Linked DNA regions of Schizosaccharomyces pombe. Changing the gene in region 1 together with any one later gene gives a genetic interaction. Each region holds a gene or a part of one and is shown in the gene's direction. Other genes may lie near its edges. The genes, in order: cnp1, nda3 and mis18.

Region 1 (3,755 bases):
ATTATCCCTAAGAAGACCTCAACTTTTAAAATCGGAAAGGACAAATCTTTGAAGCAATAAGCTCTTAATTTTATGGAACCTAATAACTTTAACAGCTACACATTACTAATTGCTTTTGGCACGACCCAAATTGCTTAAGGTATACGTGTAATGCTTGTTTTATACCGTTAGTGGAGACTTGACCTCTTTTAGCAATGAAGTACTAGCAAAATTTATGATAATCGCACATCTAATAAAAGATAATTTCACCAAATGAAAAAAAAAACCACCTAAGCAATTAATATACGATTTAAGTCACATACATTTAAATTAAGCCCTTGTTGGTGAATCTTTATTAATTATTAATCGTTTATGAACGCTGAAGTACCTTAACCTGTTAATTGTAAAGATCATTTCTATATAATGTTAATAGGTCATCAATGAGCCGCTTTTTCATTTTCAAATCGAATTTGACATTGAGGTGTTGATTTACATCTATTGAAAATGAAGGAGCAACCGATTTGCCTATATATTTTCATGCCTCTTTTTTTGCTTGTTTTTTGTTTCATATTCATCAATGTACAACGTGCTATTGGATTACAACACGTTATTATGGTAAACCGAACGATAACGAGATTCATTCGTTGTAACCACATAATACAAAAAGCAACTTTACTGTTTTGAGAAAGAGCAAGCATACCATGAACTATCTTGAAGGTACGATCGATTTTGCAGGACAATTAAGGTGTCAAAAGTATATGAACTATGGTCTATGTACAAGTGCTGTATGTCAGGGATAAAATCTCATTTATTTACTAATATATCTATAGGTTATTTCGTACATTTATGGGTATTTAGTTCAAGATTCTTATTGTGTGATTAAATTGTTTTTAATTTTAGCATCGTTGGTGGCTCTTGTAAGCTAGTTTTTTTGCTTCTAGTCATGTAATATTAACATTCATTTAAAAATAGGTGTGTCTTCCTGCTTGGTCTATGTACAACAAAAACCCTTTAAAATTTCAAAAGAAAAAGGAGTAAGCGGGAAATGGGGAATCTTTCTTTACTTGAATCGCAATCTCGCGAAATTAAAGAACCAAAATACCAAACAAAAGTTGCTCCGGCTTTATAGAATACAAATAATCTTTCATTCCAAAAGTAATGCTAAACATGTTTTAACAACTTTTGTCCGAAAACCTTTTTTTAAACGCACATTTTTTGCATATCCACAATACACGATCGATAGATGGATTTTTCCGTGATGGTTCCTCAAATCTTATTGAACATGACTTTCCTGGTACCAATAAAGAGTTACATCCTTTACATATGGTGCGCTTTATATCTGGGTGTATTCGCATTACTGATTTTTGTGAAACATCCTTGGCTGTAGAGATATAGTGTCTCGACAATGTAGGTTCTTGAACGTTTCTAAAAAGTAATTGCGAAGCCTGGTATAAATATGATACCCTTGCATGTTGGTCCTTTGACTTTGTACTCATCTCGACCGTTTATGTTTAAAACACTTGAGCTATTAAAGGAATTGCAAAACAGAGAACAAACAACTTTCCGTTTTTATAATGGAATGCAAAAGTCAAAAAAATTATTTTTAACTTAACAATTTAATTATGTTTCTTATAAAAATCCTTCATTAAATTAATTAATAAATAGTTAATGCTTGTTGCAGTCTGATTTTACCATAGGTCAAATTTTTAATTTGTTTTTCCACGGTAAACTGCGTTATGTAATTCTTTGTAAAAGAGTACGATAAATTTTTAAGGCTTTTGGATCAATTATAACCGAGATATAAAGAGAGCACATATGTTTATTCAATTAAAAAAAAATCGGTCTTGAGTTTCGCTTGGGTTTATATGATTAATTTCTCTTACCTATAAATAGTGAGAAATCATATATTCGTAAGCTATTATTAATACTTGTTCTTTTTAGCTGATGATGTGGAACGAACAAGAGCCTAATATTTTCATGTATTTTAATGATTTTCTTGTAAAACAGTAGCTTTAGTATTTTCTGACAAAGAACTTCTGTTTGATTGTTTACATTTTTAAATAGTGAGCTAAATAATTTAGAGTCTATGCTAGTCGCGACGCGTCAAACCCCTGTCAAAACCAAAACTCATTGTATCGAGCTCTTGCATTTGTTCCAACAATTACTGTTTAAAAACCTTTATTCCCAAAAGAAATTGATAGGAACAACTTAATATGGCAAAGAAATCTTTAATGGCTGAGCCTGGAGATCCTATTCCACGGCCACGTAAAAAGAGATATCGTCCAGGTACTACGGCGTTAAGAGAGATTCGAAAATATCAAAGGTCTACAGACTTATTAATACAAAGGCTCCCGTTTTCAAGAATTGTACGAGAGATATCTTCAGAATTTGTAGCCAATTTTTCAACGGATGTTGGTTTGCGCTGGCAATCTACGGCACTGCAATGTCTTCAGGAAGCGGCTGAAGCGTTCTTGGTTCATCTATTTGAAGATACGAATTTATGTGCTATTCATGCTAAACGAGTGACGATTATGCAACGAGACATGCAATTAGCCAGGAGGATTCGTGGTGCTTGACACTATATATTCAACAAAAAAAAATAGTTTTACGCTTAATCATATTGAAATTGGAATTGCTAAGGTATGATCAGTTTAATTGATATCAGGTGATTTTGAGACAGATCTTTAGCTACTCATTATAAGACTCTAAGCATGCTATCTACCAAAGAATTATTAAAAAAAATGTACGAATATGCTCATAATGAATGATAAATCTCACTCCTAGTTAATGCCATGTGAGTACCGAAGCAACGCAAATTAGATCACGTCTTGTTTCGCTTCATTATTATTCAGGCTGGAATCCTGGTCATCAATCTTATTTCCATACTTCCTTTTACTTTTTTTCTCTCGCTGTTTTTTCTTCTTGACAATACGTTGAACTTTTCTTGCTAAAAGACTATCGTTCCCGTGTTTGAATTCATCTACTTTCTCCGTTAACCGTTTCCTTGCAATACAACGATTTTGTTCACGTGAACGTGTGTCTTGAGATCGAACGATAATTCCCGTCGGAATATGTTTGACTTGGGCCACTATGCTAGTTTTATTTATTTTTTGTCCACCAGGGCCCTTTCCACATATAAATGTTTCCTCAATATCTTCTTCTTGGAGTCTTTCTAGTTGATAAGGTGTTTCTTTTTTAGAGCAATACCATGTATGCCGAAAATTTAGTTCTGCCAGACAAGAAAATGCATTTAGTCTTACTGAAATAAATGTTTTGTTCAAACACTTTCGTGCTGCGCACAGCATCTATGTTCACCTAAACGTGTTACTGCTAATAAATAGACAAACTTGACTAAAATAAACAACCTTGTCCTTTGGAATGATAATAGGCGGTCTGGTTGATTAGCGTGAAACTTGCTTAATACATTAAAAAGTTATAAGGGGATTTTGTATTATTGCTTTTCTCAAAGGTTACTGTTACAAAAAAGAAGAAAACAGAAACTTCTAAATTAGCAGAAAATTCACGATGTTGGAATATCGATGAACAAAATTGCGCACTTATTGCATAAGTTTAAAACTCTTTAATGTAATATTCTATTGTCACACTGCCCCAATAATATTTGTTTGGCATAATGCAATAGATACTGTATTACATTACATGCACAGAAGAATTTTTTTTTTTTTTTTTATTTTCACCTTTACTCTCACTCGAGTAGTGTTTTGCCTGCTTTCCAATTGACACCTCTTCTGTTTAGTCTAAAGTTTTTCGTTCAATAA
Region 2 (3,755 bases), 430 kb from region 1:
TTCTAACTTATTTCTTAAGAAAAAAAGAGTAAAAGAAGAACTACTCGTCTTCGTAGCAGAATTGAAAAGAAAGCTGCAGAGAGCAAACGCAAGCAAAAAAGAGCTGATAAAAAAAATCCGCAATGGAAAAGCAGAATTCCTAAAGATCCAGGTATTCCTAACTCATTCCCCTACAAGGATAAAATTCTTGCTGAGATCGAAGAACAGAAGCGCATTAGAGAAGAAGAAAAATTGGCTCGTCGTGCTTCAGGACAAGTTGATGCTGCAATGGAAGAGGAAGACGCTGTTGATGAAAATGGATCCCTAATGATTTCAAAGATAGCTGAGGCTGCACAAGCGTCTAACCCAGATGATGAGGAAGAGTTTGTGATGGAAGAAGACAACCTTGGAGAGGCCCCTTTATTAGTTGACTCCGAGTCTTATGAGGCATCAGTGAAGGCAGATACCTCTAGAAAGGCATATGATAAGGAGTTCAAAAAAGTTGTTGAAGCGTCAGATGTGATTCTTTACGTTCTTGACGCTCGTGATCCTGAAGGGACTCGTTCAAAAGACGTTGAACGTCAAGTTTTAGCATCTTCTGCTGAAGAAAAGCGTCTTATTTTCGTTATCAACAAAATTGACTTAGTACCATCAGAAGTACTCAACAAGTGGGTTACCTATCTCCGCAATTTCTTTCCTACGATTCCTATGCGTTCCGCTTCAGGATCTGGAAACTCAAATTTAAAGCACCAGTCGGCTTCTGCTAGTTCCACTATCTCCAATCTTCTTAAATCACTCAAGTCTTACTCAGCCAAGAAGAAGCTTAAAAGCTCTCTTACAGTCGGTGTAATTGGATACCCCAACGTTGGTAAATCATCTGTTATTAACGCTCTTGTCAACCGTTCTGCGAATGGTCGTTCTGCACCTTGTCCTGCCGGAAACGTTGCCGGAATGACTACTTCTTTGCGAGAGGTGAAGCTAGATAACAAATTACGTTTGGTCGATAGTCCTGGTATTGTTTTTCCTTCTAGTGATTCTAAAGACGATTTGTATCGTCTTGTAATGCTTAATGCTGTTTCATCCACCAAAGTTGATGATCCCGTTGCCGTTGCTTCTTACATTTTGCAATTCCTTAGCAGAGTTCCAGGACAATTGGAAAGAATGTTTCAAAGATATGAGCTTCCTCCTCTATTGAATACATCCGATATAGACACTGCTACTGATTTTTTAGTCAATATTGCTCGTAAGCGTGGTCGTCTAGGTCGCGGTGGAATTCCAAATCTTAACGCTGCTGCCAATATTGTCATTAATGACTGGCATGCTGGTCGTATCGAATGGTGGGCCGAGCCTGAGGTTATAAACGAAAAGAACTCATCTGAAGTTCAGGATACTCAAATCGTTACTGAGTGGGCCAAAGAATTTGACCTTAATGATTTTTGAGAGTTTTCAACTTACGAAAAAAGCTATTGTTGCTTAGAGCTTATATTTTGGGATTTGGTTTTCGGTTGCGGTTTTTCTTCGGGTTTTAAAAATCTTTAGGTGTTGATGGTTACTAGCTATTACTTTTTGAATTAATATATAAATAATTTTTTTTGCATATATGCCGTATTCTTGAATGTGTTGTTTTACATTTACTTGTAAAAGTAATGTTTGATATGGGAGAAGTTTTAAGTAATAGGTTCGCTAATACGGGAAATTATTAAATCAATGCATGCTGGCTTAAATAAAGTCAATTGAATATGTACGGAAAATGACATTGATACTAACGTGCAGTTATAAGTTTCATTTCATTTTTATATCAATTGATAGGATAAACACAAACAATTCTAACCATACTATTTTGCGCTACTACTGAATATGGCATAATATCAAATTAATCTGTTTAGCAGTTAATAATTATGTATATAAACTAAAGAATAAATAAAGTTACATACATTACCAAAGAAAAGAAAAAAAGCTTGTATATAAAAGAAGTAAACTATTTAATAAGCAATGATTTAAGACTTGATTCTTTTCAATTAACAATCGGCTAATAAATACACAAAAATTTTTTTTAAAAGCCTACTAGTAAATAACTGCAATAAACTGTGTTTTTAGAATTTCTGAAACGTATAAAAACGATTTGGTACTTTTGGTATTCTCAATCCGTTCCTCCTAACGAAACTCACCTACCACCAAACTGATCATCAAAACAAACCACCATAAATTAGTCTAGATGCGTGAGATTGTACGAGCTATTTTAATATTCAAAGCTAATCAATAGGTTCATATTCAAGCTGGTCAATGCGGAAACCAAGTCGGTGCGGCCTTTTGGTAAGCAAAATCTACTTTGTTATAACGTTTCTCTCAACTAACGCTTGGAAGGTCTACCATTGCTGATGAGCATGGTTTGGATTCAGCTGGAATGTAGGTCTATTTTGCTTGTTTTTTTACTGACTTTTACGTAGATATCATGGAACTTCTGAGGCACAACACGAGCGATTGAACGTTTATTTTAACGAGGTAGGTTTTTTTGCTTTCTTACAAGTGTTCGGTTGCTTAAAACTTTTTGAAAAAATTTTTTTTTGTTTATTTAGTACTGACGACTGTAGGCCGCTGGTGGAAAGTATGTTCCCCGCGCAGTCCTTGTTGATTTAGAGCCCGGTACTATGGATGCCGTGAAGTCAGGAAAGTTTGGAAATCTTTTCCGCCCGGACAATATTATTTATGGACAATCTGGTGCCGGAAATATTTGGGCTAAAGGCCATTACACTGAAGGTGCTGAATTGGCCGATGCTGTTTTGGACGTTGTTCGCCGTGAAGCTGAAGCATGTGATGCTTTACAAGGTTTCCAATTAACTCACTCTTTGGGTGGTGGTACTGGATCTGGTATGGGTACTCTTTTACTTTCGAAGATTCGCGAGGAATATCCGGACCGTATGATGGCTACCTTCTCCGTTGCTCCTGCTCCTAAAAGCTCTGATACCGTTGTGGAACCTTACAATGCTACTCTTTCTATGCATCAATTGGTAGAGAACTCTGACGAAACATTTTGCATTGATAATGAGGCTCTTTCTTCAATTTTCGCTAACACGTTGAAAATCAAGAGTCCTTCATACGATGACTTGAACCATCTTGTCTCTGCTGTAATGGCTGGTGTAACCACATCTTTCCGATTCCCTGGTGAATTGAACTCTGACTTGCGTAAATTAGCTGTTAATATGGTTCCCTTCCCTCGTTTACACTTTTTCATGGTAGGATTTGCTCCTCTTGCCGCCATCGGTTCAAGCTCATTTCAAGCTGTTTCTGTGCCCGAGCTTACTCAACAAATGTTTGATGCTAATAATATGATGGTCGCCGCTGATCCTCGCCATGGCCGTTACTTAACAGTTGCCGCTCTTTTCCGTGGTAAAGTCTCAATGAAAGAAGTCGACGAGCAAATTCGCTCTGTTCAAACTAAGAATTCAGCATATTTCGTTGAGTGGATTCCCGATAATGGTATGTTTACTTGGTTTAAAACGTCGTTTGTATATTTAGTTTATTTTTTCTACTTGTTTATGCTCATCTGCTAACCTCGAAATAGTCCTCAAAGCTGTTTGTTCCGTTCCTCCTAAGGATCTCAAGATGTCTGCAACTTTTATTGGTAACAGTACTTCTATCCAAGAAATTTTCCGTCGTTTGGGTGATCAGTTTTCTGCAATGTTTAGAAGAAAAGCCTTTTTGCATTGGTATACTGGTGAAGGCATGGACGAAATGGAGTTTACTGAGGCTGAATCTAATATGAATGACTTGGTTAG
Region 3 (3,532 bases), on another chromosome or scaffold:
CCCATCTAATGCACAACCTTCTCCTTGGCTTATGTTGGATGCCGCCAATAAAATGATCCGTGTCGCTAGAGACCGAGTATACAAAGAATCAGAAGGACCGAATATGGATGCGATTCCCATTTTGGAGGAACAGCCGAAATGGTCTGTCTTGCAAGACGTATTAAACGAAGTGTGTCATGAAACAATGTTAGCAGATACAGATGCAGGTATAAAAAAAACTCTCTTTAAAGGAAGAAATATTAACAAATCTTTCAGAAACATCCAATAATTCGATAATGATTATGTGCGCAGATGAGCGTACTTGTTTACAGTTACGTGATTATTTGAGTACGGTGACTTACGACAATAAAGACTCTTTGAAAAATATGAATAGCAAATTAGTGGACTATTTTCAATGGAGAGAACAATATAGAAAGATGAGTAAATCAATCAAGAAACCAGAGCCTTCCAAGGAGCGAGAGGCTTCTAATACAACGTCTAGAAAAGGTGTTCCACCTTCAAAGAGAAGAAGGGTAAGAGGTGGAAACAATGCCACTTCACGCACAACTTCTGATAATACAGATGCGAATGATTCTTTTAGTAGGGATTTACGCCTAGAGAAAATGTACGCTAATTATTAGGTTTTACACGCTAATAAGTCTAGTCTGCTCTCACACTTATCCAAACGTTATGAACCTGAAGTGGGCAATGATGCATTTGAAGTTATTGATGATTTCAATTCCATCTATATCTATTCCTACAATGGTGAAAGAGATGAGTTAGTATTAAATAATTTAAGACCTCGGTACGTTATTATGTTCGATTCTGATCCCAATTTTATTCGAAGAGTCGAGGTTTACAAAGCTACATATCCCAAAAGATCTCTAAGGGTTTATTTTATGTACTATGGAGGATCGATTGAGGAGCAAAAATATCTTTTTTCTGTAAGGAGAGAGAAAGATTCATTCTCTCGTCTTATTAAAGAACGATCTGTAAGTTATTCTAAACTTTTCAAAACTTGCTAATCTAAAAAGAATATGGCTATCGTACTGACGGCTGATTCCGAAAGGTTCGAAAGCCAAGAGTCAAAGTTTTTAAGAAATGTCAATACTCGTATAGCTGGAGGAGGACAGTTATCGATCACAAATGAGAAACCTAGGGTACGTTCATTATATCTTATGTTTATATGTATTAAAACGTTAAAGGTTATCGTTGACTTGAGGGAATTCCGTAGTTCGTTACCTTCCATATTACATGGAAATAATTTTTCTGTTATCCCTTGCCAACTCTTAGTGGGAGATTATATATTATCACCAAAGATCTGTGTTGAAAGGAAGTCAATTAGAGATTTGATCCAATCATTAAGCAATGGCCGTCTTTATTCCCAATGTGAAGCTATGACTGAATATTATGAAATTCCAGTTTTGTTAATTGAATTCGAACAACACCAATCTTTTACATCTCCAGTAAGTCTGACTAAAACAATCTATGTCTGACAGCTTTTAGCCTTTCTCCGACCTTTCAAGCGAAATTGGAAAAAATGATGTTCAATCTAAACTGGTACTGTTAACATTATCGTTTCCCAACTTAAGGATTGTTTGGTCTTCTAGTGCCTACGTTACATCAATTATTTTTCAAGATTTGAAAGCCATGGAACAAGAACCAGATCCTGCTTCAGCTGCCTCTATAGGTTTGGAAGCTGGGCAAGACTCAACGAATACTTATAATCAAGCTCCACTCGACCTGCTAATGGGACTCCCATACATAACTATGAAAAACTACAGAAATGTGTTTTATGGAGGCGTGAAAGATATTCAAGAAGCTTCCGAAACCTCAGAAAGAAAATGGTCAGAACTAATTGGCCCCGAAGCAGGAAGGCGTCTTTATTCCTTCTTCCGAAAACAGTTAAAGGACTATGAGTAATTTATTTTTTTATAATTTTGTAATATATTTAATTTTTGCTTCTACATCTGATATATATTGGTTCACCATATATAGAATGTTAAGCGCACCTAATTAATAACGACTACTACTAGATAAAATGAACTTTCCATAAGTATGTCCCAGACGGAAACTAGTCATTCGGGCTATATTGATTTTAAAAAAGAGTCACAACCTAGCGTCTTCCAATGTAAAAAATGTTTTCAAATAGTTGGTGATTCTAATGCTTGGGTTATTTCTCATCGAGAATATCTTAGTTTCACTTTGAGTGGTATGTGGTAAAAGAAATGTCCATGTAATTAATTATTTCATTTAGATGCAGTAGAAAATAGTGTACGCGTTGAGGATACGTTTAAAAGGAGTGATGATGGTCTTTGGTATGTTGCATGTGTTGCTCGCCAGTTTACTAATACAAAAATTATAGCGTCTATTCAGAGTTGAGTTGTACTAGATGCAATGAAGTGATTGGGAAGGTGTATAATTCTACACCTATATATCTTGATGATATTAGGTATGTCTAGTCGTACTTGGTTGACCAAATTTTAACAAAATCATGTAGAGATATGTATACTTTTTCAATGGACAAATTACAAGCGTAAGTTCATGATTTCATCTTAGTTACTAACCCCAGTGAAGCTACCAACTAGGTAATAAGACCGTAAATCCTGAAGGCCTTACACGGTATCAAGTTGATTTAGAAATGAGAGAGGACATTATAAAGGCATGTACAGTGATTCTTTATATAGTAGAGAAAAATAAACTTTAAGAAGAATAAATTACTAATTTTATTTGTAGTTGAAGTCCTTTTGTCTCTCTCTATATGAAAAGTTCGAACTTCACGATGAAACTTTACGCTCAGTTAAGGAGACAATATCCAGTTTAAAAAAACCGAAAATTGAGGGAAAGGAAGGTAAAAAAGAAAAGGCAAGAACATACTCTAAACGAACGAGGAAATAAGTCCACCGCTAGAAAGTACTGGGATACCATGTACAAACTGTTATATTCAAACAGTTAAAATTGCGGTTAAAACAAAAAGACACAATTTAAATAATACCTTTTTGATGTATTTTTTCTAAGGTTTTCCTTCTTGCTCATTGTGATATGCATGGGGCTGTCGGTCTCACGAATAAATGTGAGAGTATTTTCATTGAAAGGCTTAAGAATTTTATAGAAGATAGATTGCGTTAAGTTATATTTTTTCCCTACCTTTGGTCGTTCGTTGTTTACTGTTTAGATTATTTCTATCAGTCATTAATGAGTCATCATTGAATCATATGAAGGGCGACAGTCATCTGGATACATATGGGAATCTTCAAAGATACTACTCTATTTAATCCTTCTTTTTCAATGAGTCTTACAATCTTTATTTCACTTGCAACTATTTTGTTTTCCTTCGCTGAAGCCATTTCGGTGGATTTGAATGACACGTCCTCCGTTGACTTAGCCACTTCTTTAGTAGCTGATGGATTATTGAATTATTATGCTGGTCAGCACAAAGGAGGAACTATCGGGATGTTCCTTCCTCCAGCCTACTGGTGGGAAGCCGGGGCTGCTTGGAATGTACGTTGAGCTTAAAAGTATAATTTATTAACAACAATGGCTTTAGGGACTT

Evidence for each region.
Region 2: mutations in cnp1 (region 1) and nda3 impair growth when combined (synthetic growth defect), as found in Schizosaccharomyces pombe (one study listed by BioGRID).
Region 3: of cnp1 (region 1) and mis18, extra expression of one rescues a mutant of the other (dosage rescue), as found in Schizosaccharomyces pombe (one study listed by BioGRID).

The regions. Positions count from the first base shown.
Region 1 is NC_003423.3:3,536,409-3,540,163, forward strand, and holds cnp1 (centromere-specific histone H3 CENP-A), read left to right. Parts: upstream 1-2,095; 5' UTR 2,096-2,192; coding exon 2,193-2,555; 3' UTR 2,556-2,795; coding exon of another isoform or gene 2,796-3,284; 3' UTR 3,285-3,755. Other genes in the region: signal peptidase complex subunit Spc1, read left to right, coding at 681-764, 810-896, 952-1,017; RNase P subunit Rpr2, read right to left, coding at 1,152-1,475; pth3 (peptide release factor), read right to left, coding at 2,796-3,284. UniProt on the Schizosaccharomyces pombe protein: Histone H3-like nucleosomal protein that is specifically found in centromeric nucleosomes. Replaces conventional H3 in the nucleosome core of centromeric chromatin that serves as an assembly site for the inner kinetochore.
Region 2 is NC_003423.3:3,964,364-3,968,118, reverse strand, and holds the start of nda3 (tubulin beta Nda3), read left to right. Parts: upstream 1-2,145; 5' UTR 2,146-2,194; coding exon 2,195-2,206; intron 2,207-2,242; coding exon 2,243-2,292; intron 2,293-2,343; coding exon 2,344-2,385; intron 2,386-2,426; coding exon 2,427-2,481; intron 2,482-2,570; coding exon 2,571-3,456; intron 3,457-3,541; coding exon 3,542-3,755. Other genes in the region: GTPase Grn1, read left to right, coding at 20-1,419. UniProt on the Schizosaccharomyces pombe protein: Tubulin is the major constituent of microtubules, a cylinder consisting of laterally associated linear protofilaments composed of alpha- and beta-tubulin heterodimers.
Region 3 is NC_003421.2:513,276-516,807, reverse strand, and holds mis18 (kinetochore protein Mis18), read left to right. Parts: upstream 1-2,000; 5' UTR 2,001-2,037; coding exon 2,038-2,191; exon of another isoform or gene 2,192-2,236; coding exon 2,237-2,297; exon of another isoform or gene 2,298-2,344; coding exon 2,345-2,431; exon of another isoform or gene 2,432-2,479; coding exon 2,480-2,515; exon of another isoform or gene 2,516-2,556; coding exon 2,557-2,641; exon of another isoform or gene 2,642-2,697; intron 2,698-2,715; coding exon 2,716-2,877; downstream 2,878-3,532. Other genes in the region: rad16 (DNA repair endonuclease XPF), read left to right, coding at 1-206, 256-604, 644-971, 1,014-1,139, 1,185-1,445, 1,486-1,902; dcw1 (mannan endo-1,6-alpha-mannosidase), read left to right, coding at 3,268-3,480, 3,527-3,532. UniProt on the Schizosaccharomyces pombe protein: Component of the CENP-A recruiting complex that ensures the integrity of mitotic spindles through maintenance of kinetochore factors mis6/CENP-I and cnp1/CENP-A. Maintains the deacetylated state of histones specifically in the central core of the centromeres.